3 linked regions of the Oryzias latipes genome follow. The protein of the gene in region 3 purifies or fractionates together with the protein of the main gene of each other region. This does not show direct contact. Links are inferred from orthologs where the notes say so. Each region holds a gene or a part of one and is shown on either strand. Other genes may lie near its edges.

Region 1 (4,408 bases), on a different chromosome or scaffold from region 3:
AGCAGGCTGTCGTCACGCAGCAGGCTGTCGTCACGCAGCAGGCTGTCGTCACGCAGCAGTCTGTCGTCACGCAGCAGCCTGAGGTCACGCAGCAGGCTGTCGTCACGCAGCAGTCTGTCGTCACGCAGCAGGTCTGTCGTCACGCAGCAGGTCTGTCGTCACGCAGCAGGCTGTCGTCACGCAGCAGGCTGTCGTCACGCAGCAGTCTGTCGTCACGCAGCAGTCTGTCGTCACGCAGCAGGCTGTCGTCACGCAGCAGTCTGTCGTCACGCAGCAGTCTGTCGTCATGCAGCAGGCTGTCGTCACGCAGCAGGCTGTCGTCACGCAGCAGTCTGAGGTCACGCAGCAGCCTGAGGTCATGCAGCAGTCTGTCGTCACGCAGCAGTCTGAGGTCACGCAGCAGTGTGAGGTCATGCAGCAGGCTGTCGTCACGCAGCAGCCTGAGGTCACGCAGCAGGCTGTCGTCACGCAGCAGTCTGTCGTCACGCAGCAGTCTGTCGTCACGCAGCAGTCTGTCGTCACGCAGCAGTCTGTCGTCACGCAGCAGTCTGTCGTCACGCAGCAGTCTGTCGTCACGCAGCAGTCTATCGTCACGCAGCAGTCTGTCGTCACGCAGCAGGCTGTCGTCACGCAGCAGGCTGTCGTCACGCAGCAGGCTGTCGTCACGCAGCAGTCTGTCGTCACGCAGCAGCCTGAGGTCACGCAGCAGTCTGTCGTCACGCAGCAGGCTGTCGTCACGCAGCAGGCTGTCGTCACGCAGCAGTCTGTCGTCACGCAGCAGTCTGTCGTCACGCAGCAGCCTGAGGTCACGCAGCAGGCTGTCGTCACGCAGCAATCTGTCGTCACGCAGCAGTCTGAGGTCATGCAGCAGCCTGAGGTCATGCAGCAGTCTGTCGTCACGCAGCAGTCTGTCGACACGCAGCAGCCTGAGGTCACGCAGCAGTCTGTCGTCACGCAGCAGTCTGTCGTCACGCAGCAGGCTGTCGTCACGCAGCAGGCTGTCGTCACGCAGCAGTCTGTCGTCACGCAGCAGGCTGTCGTGACGCAGCAGGCTGTCGTCACGCAGCAGGCTGTCGTCACGCAGCAGGCTGTCGTCACGCAGCAGGCTGTCGTCACGCAGCAGTCTGTCGTCACGCAGCAGCCTGAGGTCACGCAGCAGGCTGTCGTCACGCAGCAGTCTGTCGTCACGCAGCAGTCTGTCGTCACGCAGCAGTCTGTCGTCACGCAGCAGTCTGTCGTCACGCAGCAGGCTGTCGTCACGCAGCAGGCTGTCGTCACGCAGCAGGCTGTCGTCACGCAGCAGTCTGTCGTCACGCAGCAGGCTGTCGTCACGCAGCAGTCTGTCGTCACGCAGCAGTCTGTCGTCACGCAGCAGGCTGTCGTCACGCAGCAGGCTGTCGTCACGCAGCAGGCTGTTGTCACGCAGCAGGCTGTCGTCACGCAGCAGTCTGTCGTCACGCAGCAGGCTGTCGTCACGCAGCAGGCTGTCGTCACCCAGCAGTCTGTCGTCACGCAGCAGTCTGTCGTCACGCAGCAGTCTGTCGTCACGCAGCAGGCTGTCGTCACGCAGCAGGCTGTCGTCACGCAGCAGTCTGTCGTCACGCAGCAGGCTGTCGTCACGCAGCAGGCTGTCGTCACGCAGCAGTCTGTCGTCACGCAGCAGTCTGAGGTCACGCAGCAGTCTGAGGTCACGCAGCAGTCTGTCGTCACGCAGCAGGCTGTCGTCACGCAGCAGGCTGTCGTCACGCAGCAGTCTGTCGTCACGCAGCAGGCTGTCGTCACGCAGCAGGCTGTCGTCACGCAGCAGTCTGTCGTCACGCAGCAGTCTGTCGTCACGCAGCAGTCTGAGGTCACGCAGCAGTCTGTCGTCACGCAGCAGTCTGAGGTCACGCAGCAGCCTGAGGTCATGCAGCAGCCTGAGGTCATGCAGCAGTCTGTCGTCATGCAGCAGTCTGAGGTCATGCAGCAGTCTGAGGTCATGCAGCAGTCTGTCGTCATGCAGCAGTCTGTCGTCATGCAGCAGCCTGAGGTCATGCAGCAGTCTGTCTTCATGCAGCAGTCTGTCGTCATGCAGCAGCCTGATGTCATGCAGCAGTCTGAGGTCATGCAGCCTTACCGGTTGCCAAAATGTATTGACCGTCCCTGGAGACTTTGATGGAGGTGCAGACGGTGGGCATCTCAAAGTCCTGGATGAGCTCAATCCTTCGCTGCACATCTGGATGTGGAGCAGAACCGTCTTAGTGATGGCAAACGCTTCAGGAACAGACTATAATTGAAGAGAAACTCACCCACATCCTTCTTCTGCAGCTGCCTCTTTCTCCGGTCTGACAACCACTTCAGAAAGAAAAACACCAATGAACGCAGAGACTCAGACTGCATGGGAGCTGTGAGCTTCTGCTTGACTGAACAATAACACAACGCCAGTCCTCTGTGGTGAAATCCCCAAATAGTGCTTTCTGACAGAAATTAACAAATAAAAAAGCAGCTCTTGGTATTTTTCTTTTTTTTTTTACAATCGTGTCAGGAAGCTCATGATGAGACAAATCCACCATCAGATTCACATGTTCGCACATCAGCGATGTAACGGAGAACGGCCAAACAAACGTCACCCACGTGGCTGAACTAGGCTAGCTGTAAACAAACGACGCTTCGGGAACGAAAAACAGACAAAGCTCACTTCTTACCTCCGGAAGGGACTTTCCGTAGCTTAAATTATAAATCTTTACATCGTTTATGCTGGAAACCTGCATTGTACTTCAAGAAGAAGTCTGTTGTCACTCAATACAGAATTATAACCATGCTTCAACGAAAGCCGAAAGAGAGAGTGTGGCGCTAAAAAAGGTCCGACTAGAAACAGAGTCGTTTGTTCAGTTCCACCTGTCTGTGTGTTGATCAAATGAGAGGGTAGCTTTTATAAACCCTCCCTCCCTAAAACCCCCTATAAAAATAAAAAATACACGCTTTTTTAATTTCTTTTTTATCCTGTTAAATGAAAAAGTTCTAACAGTTTCTTACATTAAAAATATATGGAAGCGTATTACATTAATGTTATATGTACAAAAAGAAAAAAAAACCTCTCCCCCTTTGTGGGTGGTTTCTCCTCCAAGCTCGGGTCCTCTACCAAAGGCCTGGAAATTTGAGGGTCCTGCAGGATCTTAGCTGTTCCTGTTCTGGACTGAGAGGTCTGAGGTCTTTCCAGGTATCTGTTGTAGCCACTCCTCCAGCTTGGGGGTTACTGCCCCTAGTGCTCCAATTACCACAGGCACCACTGTCACATTCACTTTCCAAGCTTTCTCCAGTTTTTCTCTGAGTTCTCCAGTTTCTTATGTTCCTTCTTCCTGATGTTTCCATCGCTTGGCACTGCCACATCCACCACAACGGCTTTCCTCTGCTCTTTATCCACCACTACAATATCTGGTTGGTTCGCCATCACCATCCTATCAGTCTGGATCTGGAAGTCCCACAGGATCTTTGCCCTCTCATTCTCTACCATCTTCGGATGTGTTTCCCATTTTGACCTTGGGGTTTCCAGTCCATACTCTGCACATGTTCCTGCATATAATTCCAGCCACTTGATTGTGGTGCTCCATGTATGCTTTCCCTGTCAGCATCTTACACCCTGCAGTTATGTGCTGGATTGTTTCAGGCGCCTCTTTGCACTGCCTACACCTTGGGTCTTGTCTGGCGTGGTAGATCTACACCTTGGGTCTTGTCTGGTGTGGTAGATCTACACCTTGGGTCTTGTCTGGCGTGGTAGATCTACACCTTGAGCCTTATTTGCTCTGATTCCAGTGGGTCATTAAATGTATAGAAAGCAGATATTCAGACAGTAGCACTGATATTTTAATGGACATTGGACAGACACACAGTTTACTGTCAGCAGAATTCTCTGTTGCATTTATGTGGAGACTGGCACACATAGGAATTACAGAGAAGGAGTTGGCAGATGAAAACGCAAAACTAGCTTCTATGAAGCTTAGTATTGATATACATGTTGCTGTTAGCAAAAAAAAGGTGAAAGGCTTGGTGAAAGACAAAATATTAGACAGACGGCAAAGATGGTGGGGAGGGACAACAAAGGAAGCTGTTATTACAGGAAACAGAGAGTTGATGTGAAGATGGGATACGTTGGTCGTAATAGACTATAGAGCAGAGTTGTGTAATGATAATCTTTTTAAAATGGGAAAACATTTTAATGGTAAATGGGATTTTTGTAATGATGATGAAACAATAGAGCACGTGTTGAAATGTAGGATGCTCTCTGTTCAGAGACGGTTGATGAAGGAACATCTTGAAGGAAAGGAATGAACTGGGAAATTAAAGATATTTATGCAGCACCAGCAGTTCTACGTTTTTGATTTCATTGTTGAGGAAGAAGAAAATAATTGCTTTGTAAACAGTCAGTCTG
Region 2 (4,277 bases), on a different chromosome or scaffold from region 3:
AATAGAAATGATCACATCTGACTTTGCTCTCTTTCATTTTTTAATTTAAATTAATCTGCTGCAACAGGGGTAATAAGACCCCCCCCCCCCCCCCCCGGGTCTTATTTGACACATGGTGTATTTTATTTTGAAAGAACCTTTTATTTAAGGTACCACTTTCAAAATTTGAATTGTTTTAACTATGAAACCATAAAACTTATTCAATTAATGCCAATATTTAACAGCAACTTTTTTTTTTATAAATGAATGGCCACAAGGCTTTTGCAGCTCTCTGGGTTTTGGTTGGTAAGAAACTGGATCAAACAGCTCTTACTAGTGTTACTGGTTGCAGACCCCTGCTGTAACCCATTTGGAAAAGATATTGCCCAATTTCTGCTCAAATTTTACCTTGAAAGGTGTTTCATCACAAATGCAAAAATGATCGATTTTTAGTTATTTTCCCCTTCAATAATCTAACTCAACATCATTTTGTTTCCCTTACAAAGATCTGGTATGCTTTGCCTGTGGGGCAATGAACACACTGAGCGAGGTGATGTTAGTAAACATTACTGCCCTCTAGTGGTGATGAAAACACATGACATACAAATAAAACTTCAAACGTTTATTTCACGATTCACTATGAAAAGCTGGTTTAAATTGATCCAGTCAAAGAATTGGAAGCTGTTATGAAAAGTCCTTGGTATTGAGACATCGCGGCGTCTATCTGTGCTTCTTGAAGGCTGCAGAAGAGAAAATTGTACATTTTAATTCCATAAGGAAGGCGTAATTGTGTCTTTTTTTTTTTATTAGACTTTCACCTTTTCTTTTAGTTTTCTTCTTCATGAGCTTCTTCTTTTTCTTTGGTCGCGAGCCGTCCCCATCCTAAGGAACAAACAAAAAAGTATAGTAAGTTTGGGTATAAGTTGGGAGGGGGGTGTATGAAGACCGCACCTGTCCGCCTTCACCGCCAGTCAAAGCCGTGATGTCTCCAAAGTGTGTGATCCTGCTCAGCTGGCCGGACATTCCCATCATGCCTCTCTTCTTGGAATTCCTATGACTCTTTGGCATGGTGAGGCGCACCATCATGGACTCTTCATAATTTTTCCTGTGCAGGACAAAGTATTTAGAAAGCTTCCAAAAAAAACTGGAGCTTACCCTTTAATGCTACACACCTAACAAGCTTTTCAATTATTATTAAAGGAGACAAGCTCGTGAAAACAGTTGTAGTTATGTGTCAGGATTGGATAAAGCAAACACTTGGGTACCTGTGGAGCTCCTCGTGGCTCTGCCGTTCGCTCTGGAAGTCGCGCTTCTCCCTGATCTCCTCTGGAGCGTCGCTGTACTGCTGCCGGAGCTCCTGGATCACAGAGCTCCTGAGGGCAGCTCGCCGCTGCCGCTCCATCTGGGCCTTCTTCTTGTCTGCCTCCGTCAAGTCACCGTCTACAAGAAGAAAGCATTCTTACGGCAAACCTAAACACACATTTAAACATTGTCACCGGGAGCAGCGGGTCTTACCATAATGCATCGGGGCAATCTTTGGAGGAACATATTTCTTGCTATGGGTGGCTGGTTTCTTCGCCGAAGATGCTTTGTCTTCATCTTCATCGTCAGAGTCCTCAGATTCACTTAACTAAATAAAACAATTAAAAATATGTTGTTTTTCATACAAAAAAAAAGTAGACAGTCCTGATTATGTGATATTTACCTTGCTTATGAGATTCTCAGGGTTGGGGCGCAGTTGCAACGGGTCATTTACCGCTAAAACCACCCAAAAATACGGCATTTTAATCAACCAACAACAAAGTCCACAAGCAGAATTATGTTAAAGTTTACCTAAACTGCCCGTCACGGCTGTGCGCACCAGTTTATCAATCTGGTATTTCAGCTTATGATCCAGAGGTCGCATCTTCTCCAGCACCTTCACAGAGAAAAGAAACAGATCCGATGCATGATGGGCTCTGTCCCTGACGACCAACACGAAGGAATCCTCAGTTCATCTTACTGTTCTGACTGTGACAATTCTGTCCAAGGCTTCACTTTCTTTGATTTTGCCTCCTGCTGTCTTGATGCTGATCAGGTGAGTCAGGTCCTGGAGGTAGAAGAGCATCAGCTGGTAGCGAAGGTCCAGGAAAGATAAACCCTGCACAGGGAGACAATACACAAAAAAAGTTTTCTTCACAACTTTAGTAAAACATTAAAAAAAAGTATTCTGGTTACTAAGAAAAGCTGATCATTAAAGAGGTTTGAAATATCCACACTCACCTTTGAGGTCTTAAACGCACCATCTTTGACTTTGGTGAGCAGTTCACGTACATATCTGGTGACAGAGGCTACCTAAAATAAAAGACTTTAAGTAAACTAAATGCATTCGGAATGAATAAAGTTATTAATAAACAAATTTATAGTCCTTTACAACAAAACACAAAACTACGAGAAATGTAAGGCAAATAAAAGATACCTGCTCCGTGAGAGTGTTCAGCAACTCGACTGCTTTAGGTAAATCTCTTTCGATTAAATCCTGTAAGAAAACGTATTTATCTGTCAGAACAAATTAAGTGTTTGTTTTTGTCTATAACCCACAAAACAAATCAATGCTAGCTGAGTAGCTTTAGCTAACTCCGGTTTGTAAACATCCCCAGTATTATTCCGTTTGATTTATGTTCCGTATGGGTATTTACAAAAAAATTATATATGTTACATACAAAAACGCCAACGTGTCTGCCAAGACAACTTAAATAATTATAAAAGAAAAACGTTTCAGTTGAACTCACGTTGTCTACCGTGGCAGCCATTTTAATTCCAGATAACTACGGAAACCAGTGTAGGACAAACTTAAAATTTTCGCGCGGAGAGTATTCCTAGCTTGTACTAGTAGATATAAATATCTCAAGCGAATATTCCTTTTGTACATTTGTTTAACAAACAATAAAACAATAATAGTGCAGTGTATTCAAAAGAATAAAAATATTTTTTTTAAATTTTGAAACCAATTCCTCTCTGCTATAAGTAGTTAACTTAAGTGTACCAGGAGTACAGTATGTCTATACTTAAAGTGAAGCAGTGTTTCTAAAGTTTACTTTTTAGATATTTTAAACTTAAAATGCTCCAATTTAGTCAGAATAAGTATTCAGTTAGTATTCTTACAACACTACTCAAAAGTATACTTGTACTCAAGTATACTTCATCAAATAAACTCCATGTGTATTCCTTTTTTCTAAGGGTCAACTATCTTTCTTTTTTTGAAATCACAATAAAAAAAAATCTTAAAACAAAAATGAAAAAGAATTTTTCCATCAATAGGAATTTAATTGAAGGGCATGTTGAATTTGCAAAAACGCCTTAAATGAAATCCTCTGATAGTGATCAGAGGAGCAGTCAGAGTTGGGAGCAAGGTTGTGACAGTTAGGTTTAAGCATTTCAACAGTTGTGATCCTGATCTTAGAAGGTCAGGAAGAGCTGAAAGTCATGACTACACCATCCTAATAAGGATGGCTGCTCAGGCTTTCGTGTGTTTGTGAGAAAGAGAGACAGAGAGGAAGTGATGGTGTGATAATCAGAGGGGTACCTGTCTATCTGTCTGTCAGTCCCATGTCCTTCTTGTCATTTTCAGTCAGAGCTTCTTCAGAGAACACAGGAGACTCTTTGGAGCAAAAAGCCATGGTGAGTCACATTTGAATCCTCCTAGAATTCAATTAAAGGAGTCCGAACCTAAGTGTAATTTATTGATTTCATTGATTTTTACTCAAACCAGGATGTTATCGATTTCATGTTTTTTAATAGAGGTGTAACCAATCATTTCGACAACGATTCGATTCATATCATAATTTGTGGTTGATGATAGGATTCATAGTCGGTTCATTTTGAACAATCCAATTTGATCTGATTCACTGATCCAAAACTTCAACCTCAGAGATAAATACCTGCTACTGAACAGTGCAGGGGAAGTTTCCCAGATTCCTTGTATGTCTTGCAAGATAATTAAGTGTAAATTAAATATGTGTACAAAAAAACATGTGAACAAGAATCAATGACAAATCCATTCACATTTTAGTTTCCCAAAGTTCAGTCCACTGTTGTTTTTCCACATAAAAAAATACAAACATTAATAGAACTTTTTAGCACACTGTATGGTCACGTCTTTGCTAAATTCAAAGTGTTCATTATGATTTATTATAAACTCTATTGAGGCGACAATTGTTGTAATATTGGGCTATATAAATCAAATTGAATTGGAGTGTTTCACCACATTGGACTGGAATAATACATTGATCATTTTTTGCTGCCGTCACGTGTGTTCT
Region 3 (4,327 bases):
ACTCACAACACGAAACAATAATTCACAACACAATAACTCACAACACAACAACTCACAACATGAAACAAAAACTCACAATACGGAACAATAACTCATAATACGAAACAATAACTCACAACACAAAAACACACAACACAGCGACACGAAACAATAACTCATAATACGAAACAATAACTCACAATACAATAACACACAACACAACGACACGAAACAATAACTCATAATACGAAACAATAACTTACAACACAATTACTCACAACACAACACTTTAACTCACAACACAACACAATAACTCACAACACAAAACAATTTGTCACTGTGAAAATAAGAAAACTATCAGTTTGTTAAAGTTTGAAAGATATTTACAGATTTCCGGCCTCAGTAACTCTTCTGATAAACGTTTAAATGCAAATGGAAGTATGTCAATCATTTTGTATTAACTCTGAAAGTGAACTACAAATGCATTTCTAAAGAAAAATCTTTTTTTTTGCCTTTTGATAAAATTGTTCAGAAGAGTTTTGATGGCCGGAAGTCCGAATCTGTGAATCTTTGTCAAACTTTAACAAACTGACATTTTTCTTATTTTCATAGCGACAATGCTAATAATAAAAAAGGTCCCCTAATTTTATTTATTTTTTTATTTTCCCCTCTCGGATTATTGAGAGGGCCTGCAAAGTGGGTCACAGAAACACACGGAAGGAAGCGGCTGACATACAGACAAATCTCAGCTTCAGAGAAACTGCAGGAGAATCTTTGAACGAGTTTATGAACCCTGAATGGAGACGTGACCACCAATGTTTTAGCCCAGTGGAATTTCAGAATAAAAGCACAGCAACTTCTGTTGAATTTAACTTCCATTTTGAGTTCAACTGTTGTGTTGTGAGTTCAAGTGTCGTAAGTTATTGGTTTGTGTTGTGAGTTAATTTGTTTGGTGTTGTGATGAATTGTAGTGTGCTATTTTATGCTGTGTTGCAAAATCTAAAGAGTTGTGACCCTTCTGGGCCACTGTACTGCTGTCCTTGAACTGTTTGTTTATGAGTTGAATAAAGTTTGAGCTTCAGTACTTTTTTTCAAACTTTTCCACTGACTTATTCCTCCCTCCCACTAGCAGAGCAGAAACCTATGCACTTTTGTCAAATTTTATTAAAGGAAACAAGATTACATTTCAAACCAGATTACAGATTTCCACCCTCAGATTTTGACAGTGACTGAAAAAACTACTCCTTTACTTTGCTGTCCTGCAGTAATAGATTACACTCCGGCCTCAGGAGGGTGCTCTGTCCAAACAGGCTGCGGAAAAGCTCGCTGCGCGCCTCGTCACTCATGGAGCTGTTGTCCATCGGCGCCATGAAGTTGAGCAGCTTGGAGTGGACGTGGAAGCGGATCTTGCGGCCCTTGCTGGCTCTGGTGTCCACCTTCCTCTTCATCTTGCTGCGCAGCTTCTGGATGGCCAGCCACTGCCGGCCCGTGGCCAGCTGCTCGTTCGAATCCGTCGCGCTGGTCTTGCGCTCGATCAGCTCCCTCAGGAGCTGGTGGTAGAAGTCGTCGTCGTCGAAGATGTCCTCGTCTAGATGTTTGAGGTGGCTGTTGGGTTTGAGGGAGGCCGGCAGCCCCTCCTGCTCGCCTGTGTTCTCACATGTGTCCAGGCGCTTCTCCGTTCTCCCCAGAACTCTGTACTCGGAGCGCTGCATCTGGGTACGCTGCACCAGCCTCTCCTTGTCCTCCAGCACCTGCTGCACCTGGGTCACAACACTCCTGTCAAAGGCCCCGAAGCCCCCGCCGCCGCGGCCCCCCGCCAGCCTGGTTCTGTCGTCCCACTTCTGCAGCGTGGCGGTGCGGAAAGACTCAAAGGAGGAGAAGCGTTTGGCCATGAGGGCTGGGTAGTCCGCCATCTCCAGCTTTCGCTTCGGCGCTCGCCGCTCTGCATGCTCTTCATCACTGACAAGCTCTTCATCTTCACTGTGACCCGCTATGCTCTTCGTGTCTGGGTTTTGCTCCAGCAGCAGGTCCTGCAGCTCCAGCAGGGACCTCTGGAGGGCCTTCAAAGCCTTGTGGGTGTTTCCCAGCACCCCCTGCAGCTCTGTGCCGCCCCTCTTCTGGAACTCTGGGAAGGTGTGAGGCTGCGGCAGCTGGTTAGCCGACACCAGAGCCTTCTGGATCTTGATCCGGGCCTCAAGGAACTGGTCCCACAGAGCCAGCTGGTTCCTCACAGCCATCCCCTTCTCCACCTCCCCGTCCACTTTGTCCTGAGAAAATGTGTGCACACCCTCCTCTTCCTCAACAGATTCATCTTCTTCATCACTTTCTCCAGACTCTCCACTCTCCTCCTCATCGTCATCTTCCTCGCTAACTTCCAGATCCTCCACGCCCTCCGCCAGACGATGATAGTCCATTAAGGAGTCAGAGGTCTTCATCAAGGAGGCATTATCAGAATCCTGCAGGGAATCACCATCCTGAATTTCCTCCTCTTCCTCACAATGATCGTCATCTTCCTCCTCCTCCATATCTTCCTCTTCTTCTTCACTCTCATCTTCATCTTTTTCGCTGATTTCTTCTTCCCCCTCCAACTTCACCTTCTTCTCTTTCAAGTATGGTTTGTTACATTTTTGATCAGCTTCCTCCTCCTCGGTGTCATCCTCTTCCTCCTCTTCATCCAGCAGCTGTCTCCGGGTCACCACCCTCCCCTTGTACCGCGTGTCAGACTGCGGATCGCAGTTGCGTATCCGCAGCGCGCTCGTGGCGTGTTGTTCGTCTTCGTCCTTCTCCTCTTCATCGTTAGGTCTGTGGATTACGCGCGCTCGCGTGGACTCCTGAACGTCGTGATCCTCCGGATCTATGAATGTGGGCTCAGGGTTCAGAAGTTCTTCAAGCGCTTGTGAAAAAGAACCCGCCATTCCGAGCCATGCACGCAGCACTGAGGCGACAGCACGACGGTGACGCAGGCAACACGCGACAGGTATTTGGATTATCCCTGAACGCTGTCTGCAAGGCAGAAACACTCGCGTGTTTGTTTCATTACGTTTTTTCCCCTAAGAAAAACTTGGACTGGAGCCACGTTGAAGCCAGACAACAAACTGTGCGCTTCTATTTAAATAGATAGTAGCAAGCTTGTAACTTAATAAATAAATTTTAATTAAAAAAAACCCCAAATACGTTATTTTGTTCCTTTCTATGACAGTTTTCACACGTTTTCTGTTCTGTGCTGCAAGAAATTAAGTAAATGTAACACTTCAATTTGAAAAGTAAGATCAAAGAAATTTGAGGTTTTCATGGCCTAATTAAAAAAAAACATAAAAATGTTTTGTTAAAGAATCAGGAGAGTTTTATTTTCAAGATTACAGTAGACCATTAGATATTTTCAAATTAATTACAACTTTTTAAAATCTTTTTTTTTTACTTTTTTAAAATTTCGTTATTTGTTTTTCATTATTTTAAATTAATTTAAATTGACATCTTTAGGAAATACTTAAGAATTTTTTGTGCTGAAAAGCAGATTTGCTTGTCAGTAAAGCAGACCGGCAGAAAAAAATCAAAGAGACATGCAATATGAGGAGGAATTTGCTGCAGCTGTGGAGTCTATGGAGCTGATTATTTTATTAATTAGATGTTCTCAAAATATAGTTTTAAAACATTCCTGGTGCGGGCTTTTTTTATTCACCAGATTCTTCAGTGCTAAATAATTACTTTTGGAAGATATTTTTTTCTTTTTTCTTTTTTGCTTAATTCTGATAAGGTACTGCAAGTGTTCGTTTACAGTAAACTGAGATGTACTTTGTGTTTATATTTCAGGTGGACTTTTGATAGCCAAGGCTTATCTGTCACATAGCTGTTAATTGTGCTAAACTCATGTAACGTTGCCACAGGATGTTCCACAAGAAAATGTTAATTGTTCATTCCTCTGGCCATCTATGAATAAAAACTTTCCAAAGTCGCTGTTGCAGATCTCAGCGGGAATCTTGTTTACGCCTGGAAGACAAAGTTTGAGGTGTAAAAAGATCTGTGGTCTCGACTCGAGTGCGCATGCGTGAAATGCTCGGCGACTCGGGGCTTCTCCAGCTACTTGGTTTGATATTCTGAGTTGACCCGCAGAGTCATTTTAGGAGCAAACATGTCTACAAGTGATTTTTATCTGAGGTATTACGTCGGGCACAAGGGGAAGTTTGGACACGAGTTTTTGGAATTTGAGTTTCGGCCTGACGGTGAGTCCTGTTCGGCGGTTAGCTCCGGCTAACGCGGCTAAGCTACGTCGGGCCGCGTTGGTGTTAGCGCCATATTTGTCTAAACTTAAAACTGAAAATTAACACTAATCTTTCGTCGAAGAAGGAGT

Evidence for each region. The genes of interacting proteins can lie anywhere in the genome.
Region 1: the proteins of aatf (region 3) and nol10 purify together in Homo sapiens (affinity purification with mass spectrometry; 4 studies listed by BioGRID and IntAct, counting the BioPlex papers as one, with this or other methods). This does not show direct contact. The link is inferred for Oryzias latipes from reciprocal best matches to the Homo sapiens genes AATF and NOL10.
Region 2: the proteins of aatf (region 3) and ngdn purify together in Homo sapiens (affinity purification with mass spectrometry; 3 studies listed by BioGRID and IntAct, with this or other methods). This does not show direct contact. The link is inferred for Oryzias latipes from reciprocal best matches to the Homo sapiens genes AATF and NGDN.

The regions. Positions count from the first base shown.
Region 1 is NC_019880.2:20,041,578-20,045,985, forward strand, and holds the start of nol10 (nucleolar protein 10), read right to left. Parts: upstream 2,887-4,408; 5' UTR 2,751-2,886; coding exon 2,685-2,750; intron 2,335-2,684; coding exon 2,289-2,334; intron 2,216-2,288; coding exon 2,117-2,215; intron 1-2,116.
Region 2 is NC_019878.2:12,329,485-12,333,761, reverse strand, and holds ngdn (neuroguidin), read right to left. Parts: upstream 2,818-4,277; 5' UTR 2,772-2,817; coding exon 2,751-2,771; intron 2,498-2,750; coding exon 2,438-2,497; intron 2,314-2,437; coding exon 2,242-2,313; intron 2,120-2,241; coding exon 1,982-2,119; intron 1,898-1,981; coding exon 1,813-1,897; intron 1,738-1,812; coding exon 1,685-1,737; intron 1,610-1,684; coding exon 1,495-1,609; intron 1,420-1,494; coding exon 1,245-1,419; intron 1,085-1,244; coding exon 931-1,084; intron 862-930; coding exon 798-861; intron 720-797; coding exon 700-719; 3' UTR 587-699; downstream 1-586. Other genes in the region: CCAAT/enhancer-binding protein beta, read left to right, coding at 3,568-3,639. UniProt on the Homo sapiens protein: Part of the small subunit (SSU) processome, first precursor of the small eukaryotic ribosomal subunit.
Region 3 is NC_019862.2:23,974,405-23,978,731, forward strand, and holds aatf (protein AATF), read right to left. Parts: upstream 2,970-4,327; 5' UTR 2,895-2,969; coding exon 1,218-2,894; 3' UTR 635-1,217; downstream 1-634. Other genes in the region: protein mago nashi homolog, read left to right, coding at 4,109-4,199. UniProt on the Homo sapiens protein: Part of the small subunit (SSU) processome, first precursor of the small eukaryotic ribosomal subunit.